Oryza sativa Japonica Group: one gene and its partner. Each later gene encodes a partner of the first gene's protein in a complex. Links are inferred from orthologs where the notes say so. Each region holds a gene or a part of one and is shown on either strand. Other genes may lie near its edges.

Region 1 (4,332 bases):
AAGAGCTACCGAGTTGTCAGGGAGAGGAAATCCAGTGCGAGAGGTTATATCGATGAAGTGATTGTGTATTGCCAATGGGCTAGACTATGATACTAATCTTTGATTAAAAAGAGAGAGAATGAGTGCTAGAAAGCTATGTGTATCTTTGGTCTTTGGGCTGCTGGCAGCAGACGTGATGGTGTGAGCCTTGCTTTGCTTTTCTACTTTGGAAGCCATGGCTGATCTAGCCTCTACTAGAACAAGCAGATTGAAGGGGTCGTCTGTTTTGATGTTGGTGCCCAAAAGCTTTGAATATGACCATGCAAGGATTCGTGGCCAGCATCCAAATGGTGTGTTTGCTATCAAGATTAGCAATTACTTAATTAGGTTCGAGTAATCAACAAGTTTGGAGGTTTCGACTGACAGGCATCTCGCCTTAATTTACTTGCTTGAGCATTATCCGATACAAGCTAAAACGAGAGAGCACTGTTGTACCCAGTGTGGCAGAGCTTCCATTGGATGGTTTCCTCTCAGAAATGGGGCTTGTAAACACACATGCAATATAGTTACATCATGAAAAATATATACAAGGACTTTTACGGTGAACAAAATATGGTACCAGCGAATATCTTACTATTACTCCAGTATTTCAGAATCGGATATTGAATATACTTCATATGATACCTGAGCCAGGGGGATTTTGGTTTTGAATCACTTGGGCGTTTCCAGGATTCTGTTGAGTCTTTGTCTCCATAGAGAGCATTTTTAGAGAAATCTTCCGCAAGTAATCAGACTGGTGATACAAAAGAATACAATGGTAAGATTTGGCTTTGTAATAAATAACTTGCCACCCTAAGTCCTGGTGGTTAGCACAATTGAAACATATGCTTCGTTTTTTTATACAATCAATTAAATTATACAAATTCTTATCTATACAGCAAACTACTTTGGCATGAATAAGCCTGATGAAGTATGAACAGGAGAACACAATTGGAATTTGGAGATTATGAATCCCTATACCCAGCCAAAGAAGCTCCTACAAAAATGTTTACCAAAATGAAGTGGGATATATGATGACATACTCGCTAACACAAAAGGAAGGACTGGAGTAAACCATTGTTTGATGTTTCATCTGGGATAAAGGGAATATTTTACAGGTGATTTATACAAGCATGAACAGATGGAATGATGGGCTTACAGAACTCAAGGTACAACTCCTGTACTTTTAACATGGCCAATGAGAGAAACCAGTCTCATGGTAAAAATATTGTTTAGTTCTATAATTCATTAATACTAATTTACTATTGAGATATGTTATCAATGAAAATAATGTGGGGACATCAACACCTCTAGCATAGGACTGAATCAGTCTTAGTCCCTGTATCCAAGGCGCAAAGGAGATTTTCCCCCGATAATGGAAGGGGAAAAGCTTCAGCAGCCTTGGATAATCTGATTTAGGTGGAAGTGCGAAATATTACAATCGGTTCAAAAGAAAATGTGGATACTTCACGGCGAAACTCTAACAAACTTCAAAATCAACAGACATATTTGCAAACATTGGACGATCGATTTCTTCTACTAAGATCCCAAATGCCATGCTTGAGCCCCACAACTGAAAGATTGGATCAACCCGATGAGTTAGCAAGAGGCTAAGTGTACCTGGCTGGTGGCTGCAGTATAGATTTTCTCTTCAAATCGCACTGCTATCTTTTGAAGTTCATTCAACCCCTCAGGCACTGATACTGGTAGATGCTTCTTCAGAGTGTCCATTCTGTACGCAGATTGCAACAAGCAAGTAAATGACGAATATATCCCATGCAGAACGAGAGAGAGAGAGAGAGAGAGAGAGAGTGCTTTTGAGATGTTTTGTGCAAAAAAAAAAAGAGAAATGTCACCTAAGGCATAATGTGTCAGTCTACCATTCAAGATGTTGGACAAATGAGTAGGCATAGCCCAAGTTACGCGCTCAAATATAGTGGCTATGACCAAAAGTGGACAACAGCTACAAAGGACTCGCGGAGCGAGAGTGGCACATACATGATCTAACATAACGAAGTAAAATAAACGAGAGAGGTAGGCGGTTTCTCCAACAAACAGTTTGCCTTGCCATCATAGTTCCCTGACCCTCAAAGGGAAGATCCATTTGAACAGAAGGGGTGCATCTTCCAAGCAAACCTCTATACTGTAATAACTGTGTCTGATGAAATGTAAATTGAGTTCAATTGGATATGTAGACTAGGTGAACTAGACAAGAATGTCAAAGCTAATAAGAATCTGAAAATAGTTGGGGAGGGATTGGAGTTGGACCTAACTAACAAAGTAAATAATAATAAATAAATAACAGAAACACAGGGGCACGGAAGGGGAGATTATGATGAGATTACAACTAGCTACGTAGGAGTAGATCGGATCAGAGTTGCATCATATTGAATCGACCACAGGCACAAAAGGATGATGCGATGTATGGATCTTCTATTTTATTTTATATAGTTGATGAAGAGAAGAAAAATTGGGGGAAGGGAAGGGAAGGGAAGTGGGTGGGGGGAGAGGGGGAAAGCCCTACATCTTGTTGACGATCCTGTTGCGGGCCTCCGACTGGAGCTGGGAGCGCCAGTCGCCGCCGGCGAGGGCGGGGGCCGGGGCGTTGGGATCGATGCCCCCAGAGGCGGCGGGGTCGGCCCCCTGGGTGGGCCTCCAGTTGCCGCCGCCGCCGCCATCCATGGCTCCTCTTCTTCTTCTTCTTCTTCGATTGCAATTTGCGAGGGTTTGGTCTTCGTGGCGGCGGCGACCACAAGACGGAGCGAGCGAGCGAGCGAGCGAGGTAGGCTAGAATCGGAGTCTCGCCTCGCCTCGGAGGAGAAGAAACCTCGGGGTTGGACCGACCTAGTATTTATTTCGCATTTGCCCCCTTGTACTTACAGCATACTCCGATTGCGTTTCCTTTCCCCTTGCATACGGTAGCATGGCGTTAACCCTAACTTTTTTATACTAATAAAATATAATAATAAATTTATGAAATATTTCAACATTTGCAAATGCCAACTATATATAAAAACCCTTCTCTATTAGAACCCCTTCAGCATAATTATTTTGTAAATAAAGCTACACATAAATACATGTTACCGTTTTGGATAAAACCCTCTATGGGTAGTATATTGAAATAAATACCCTTTTAATAAAGAAACATAGCTATGGCTATTTTATACGAACCTTTGAAAAGGAATTTGCCTTCGGAAAATTAATTACAAAATAATATATATTAGTAAAGTATTTATTAAAAACCCTATTTGCAAAATATAATTCATAATAGGCTATTTTCAAAAGATATGACCTTCTCACACAACGTCTAATTTTCCCTCAGGTATAGCCTAGTTTGCATGTTAGGATTTATTGTTTATTTGTGTGTGTTTAGAATTTGTGCCATAGATTTTGATTAAACCCTATCTCTAGAAAGGACACCCTTTCCTATACCTTTCTTTTTCCATCCTTACCTTCTCTTACCTTCGCGGTCTAATTTGTTATGTGCTTCGATGCTAAATAAATCAATGACCCAAAACTTTTTTGTCCTATCGCGATATTGTTGCTCTCTCAAACTCTCGCCCAGCGATTATTTAAAATCACTCCATCAATTCAAACCCAACACTCTCCCTTGACTATCTACAATCGATCGGCGTATTTATTTATCATGCGTCAATTCAATTATCTCCGATTCTATTCCTACCGCGACGATTGGATTTGTATGCTACGCGTTGTCCCTAAAATCCTTTCTTCGCTACCGTCGTTCGTTTGTACGAACACTCTCAAAATAATCCTACAACAACCGATAAATTCATTTATCGTGCGTTAACCCTAAACTCCTATTTGGCAATACGGTGCATCCATCCAAACAAAGTCTCATGTTGCAATCCATTTATTCTGCCCTCGTGCATTCTCGGAATATCTATACATACCACAAATCCCATTTCCAAAGCACTGTCCAAGTCACACCGTCCCACCACAAATACAACGTCCAGTCATACAGTCCCAATTATAAATGTACAGTCCTATTACACGAGTTGACCTATAGCCAAATGACCAATTATACAATATACACCATACCGTCCCATCCACATTTACAGTCCAAGTATATTTCTAGTCCAAACACAGAGCCAAAATCAATATCCATATTATACGGTCCATTTATACAGAGCCGAGCCAAATTACAAATACTCTGCCAATTTACAAGTCCACAAGTAATCGTGCACATGCAATGCACGTTGTGATCAATATTTGAACTAAACCGAACATATTGCACCTAGAGATTTTTTTTATAGATATATACTAAAATGTTTAGGTGCTATAACTTTTGCCCAT
Region 2 (3,446 bases), on another chromosome or scaffold:
TATTTTATGATGGAAACCCTGCTAAGGCTACTGAAATTACGATGAGACCGCTTTGATAACCATGCAGCTCTTGAATTGGGAAAAAAAAGTACATAAAGATGCGATATGCACCAATAAAATTATAAAAGGAGTTACTTCTGATGATGCTTTGGCAGTTCTAACCCATTTGAGTCAATTACTACTTTATCATCTGCAAGATAAGCTCGTGAATGAAAACTAAGACCTATAGTACTAGTATCATGTTTGTAGTAGGAAGATCCCCCATGCTGTGCAATAAGATAGGAAAAATGGTGTGTTCATTTAAGTGCAAACTTACAAGTTGAAACCACTCCCTTCTCATAACTTATATAGCTTGAGTTATAGAACATTCTTGAGTTTTCAGCTACCACTCTTTGGTACAATGGTATAAAGGTTTTCAAACTATATTGCAGCAATAAGAGGTACAGACATAAGGTAAAACAATGAGAAAAATTAAGCAGAGTGCATGAACATGGAAGTCATTACTTGATTGAAAAGCCCATAACCAGCTAGCAAGCCTAGCAAGCAATTATGACTGAAACCTGTAATCTGTGAAGAAGGGCATCAAACATTAAACACACCATGTTCAAGTTTAAATATCCATAAAAGAAGCCATGTTTCTGACGATACAACACCAGCACATCCTGAGGAAATTAGACCATCATGCTTGATTACATATATCGAAGCAAATTGACTAGTGAGATGGTTTAATTAATCAACACATACATGATACGCCACCCAATTCTATTCAATACCAGTATATTGCTGCATGATCTTGAATAATCATGTATGAGAGCTTGCATTATTTGTTCTTACTAGTACATGACCTACAACGGCATGGAAACATGAATCATAAAATAGCTTACCAAGGAACTAATCCTCATCATCTTCTTCAGAGCTCCCGACGTCGCTACTGTACTCATCACTGCTAGAACTATTGTTAATGTCAAGATCAACATGCCGAACCTGTATCGGTTCTTGTGCCTTCGGCACCATTGCTGGCACCACAACCGGCATCTGTTGCACACTGGCCCGTGGCTCCTCACCCTTGACACCAGCCAGAATGCCATCCGGCGGTAGAGTGATCGGGTCCCCGGGTTTCCATCCAGGCGGCGGCAACGGGATTTCGAGAGGCAGCGCCCCGTTCCGCCACCCATGCGGATGCGGCACAGTGATTGGTAGCACAGCTGCCTCCTGGGTTGGTGAAGGCTGAAAAAGCGGAGTGGCATCTCCCTCTGCTGCAGTCCTCTCCTTTGCTTCCTGGGATTTCGGCACTCCAACATCCAAATCCGCAAATTGATACAGCTGCGACATCCTCATCTCATTTTCCTGAGGAGCAGGCGGCAACGCCCCACGCAGAGGCAGCCCAGCACCATGCTCAGGCGGCGCGAAGGTCGTGTAGCTTATGCGGTGGGCGTACGTCAGGACGTCGTCCAGGTTGAGCTTGGAGTGCAGCGACGCGCCAAAGTCGCCGTCTGACACCGGCTCGGGGTCGTCCGCCGCCGCGGCGCCGCGCGGGCGCTTGGGGTCGCGGCGGTAGTCGGCGTAGTCGTCGACGAGGCGGTCGAGCACGTGGTGCGCCTCGCGGAGCTTCTTGGCGAAGGCGAGGATCGAGGCGTCCTTGGCGCGCGCCTCGCGGGCGAGGCGCGCGCGCGCGTCCTGCAGGTCGAGGGTCTCCTGCAGCTCGGCGACGGCCTCGAAGAGCTGGGTCTGGAGCGTGTTGAGCAGCGACAGCGCCTCCTTGGTGGAGGAGATCGGGGCCGGGAGCGGCGGCGGCGGCGCGGAGGACGGCGAGGGGAGGAAAGTGGGGAGTGACCCCCGGTACGCCGAGATCCACGCGGCGCGGCTCGGCGAGAGCTCGAAGAGGTTGGAGGCGAGCGCGGAGATCAGCTGGAGGAGCGCCTGCGCCCGCGGGAGCGGCGGCAGGAGCGGCAGCAGCGACGGCGATGTAGTTAGGGTTGGTGCAGCGGCAGCGGCAGCGCCCACGGCCGCCGCCGCGCTAGGGTTGCCCTGCGGCGGCGAGGAGGTGGGATTCCCCGCAGCCGGGTTGGGCGGGAGCGACGGCGACGAGGCCGTCAGCCCCAGCCGCGCCGGCGAGGGGTGGTGCGACTGCATCATCGCGGCGGCGGCGGCGGCGACTGCGGATGCAGGAGACGGACGCGAGGCAGAAGCTACTAGACAAAATTTCCTCTTAATGGGCTAATGGGCCTCCAAATTGTATTATATGGGCTTTACGGCCCATAAAAGCCCATTAACTCGGCCATAAAACACCATCTCTTCTGACTCCGCCGCATCGTCTCCCCAATCTTTTTGGCGGGAGAGCACCACAGCGCCGCCTCCACTTCCCGCGCAATTCGCAAGAGAAGAGCCATGGACGGCGGGTCCTCCACGGCGGCGAGGTCGTCGGCGGCGGAGATGGAGGAGCACCAGAACTGGAAGAAGAACGCGCCGGTGCTCTACGACCTCGTCATCTCCCAGCCGCTCGAGTGGCCGTCGCTCACCGTCCAGTGGCTCCCCTCCCACTCCCGGTCGCCGGGCTCCGCCCGCTCCCACCGCCTCGTCCTCGGCACCCACACCTCCGACGAGACGCCCAACCACCTCCTACTCGCCGACGCCGCCCTCCCGCTCCCGCCCCGCCTGGCGGCGGCGGCCGCGGCGGCGGGCGGTGCCGTCCCGGCCCCGTCCGTGTCCATCTCCCGCTCGGTGCCGCACAAGGGCGAGGTCAACCGCGCCCGCTGCATGCCGCAGAGGCCGTACACGGTGGCTACCAAGACCTGCGTGGATGAGGTGCACGTGTACCATCTTGGCGACGGCGGCGAGAAGGGCGGCGCCGATGTGGTGCTCAGGGGGCATGAAGCGGAGGGGTATGGGCTGGCGTGGAGTCCGATGAAGGAGGGGTTGCTGCTGAGCGGCTCGTATGATAAGAAGATTTGCCTTTGGGATCTCGCTGCTGGGAGTGGAGCTTCGTCTCTGGATGCACATCATGTGTTCGAGGTAATGCGCCGTCAAATGCCCCCCTCCCCTCATTCCATTTTGCAGTAAACATTTACAGTCGTTAAATGTTACATTATACGATGCAGTTGAGCAATGATTCGTAATTCATAATCCAATTCATTTAGTAAGGATGCTTCGATTGTTTCTTCCCCTTTTTTTTTTCAGTAAACAAATTTTGATCTGCCAGATCTCTTAGTAAACAATATTGAAATAATGAAATTGAACTGTTTCTGGTCTTTCCTAAATGTTGGAAGAGAATCATTATAACTGAAATAACTGCACAATTCCAGAGTAGATAATTGCACTGCGTAGGAGAAAGGACACAGCAATTGAATAACTAGTCGAGAAGAGAACATGGTTCCATTTCCATAGCTGCATTTTAAGCACAAACAATCATCTCTTGGTGTGAGGAACAATTCTATTATGCATAAACA

The links.
Region 2: mediator of RNA polymerase II transcription subunit 15a (region 1) and mediator of RNA polymerase II transcription subunit 4 share a complex: the UniProt entries of both Arabidopsis thaliana proteins name them as parts of the mediator complex. The link is inferred for Oryza sativa Japonica Group from reciprocal best matches to the Arabidopsis thaliana genes NRB4 and AT5G02850.

What each region holds. Positions count from the first base shown.
Region 1 is NC_089042.1:28,450,849-28,455,180, forward strand, and holds the start of mediator of RNA polymerase II transcription subunit 15a, read right to left. Parts: upstream 2,832-4,332; 5' UTR 2,701-2,831; coding exon 2,543-2,700; intron 1,751-2,542; coding exon 1,639-1,750; intron 773-1,638; coding exon 664-772; intron 1-663. UniProt on the Arabidopsis thaliana protein: Component of the Mediator complex, a coactivator involved in the regulated transcription of nearly all RNA polymerase II-dependent genes.
Region 2 is NC_089043.1:25,716,213-25,719,658, forward strand, and holds mediator of RNA polymerase II transcription subunit 4, read right to left. Parts: upstream 2,212-3,446; 5' UTR 2,137-2,211; coding exon 892-2,136; 3' UTR 571-891; downstream 1-570. Other genes in the region: histone-binding protein MSI1 homolog, read left to right, coding at 2,389-3,012. UniProt on the Arabidopsis thaliana protein: Component of the Mediator complex, a coactivator involved in the regulated transcription of nearly all RNA polymerase II-dependent genes.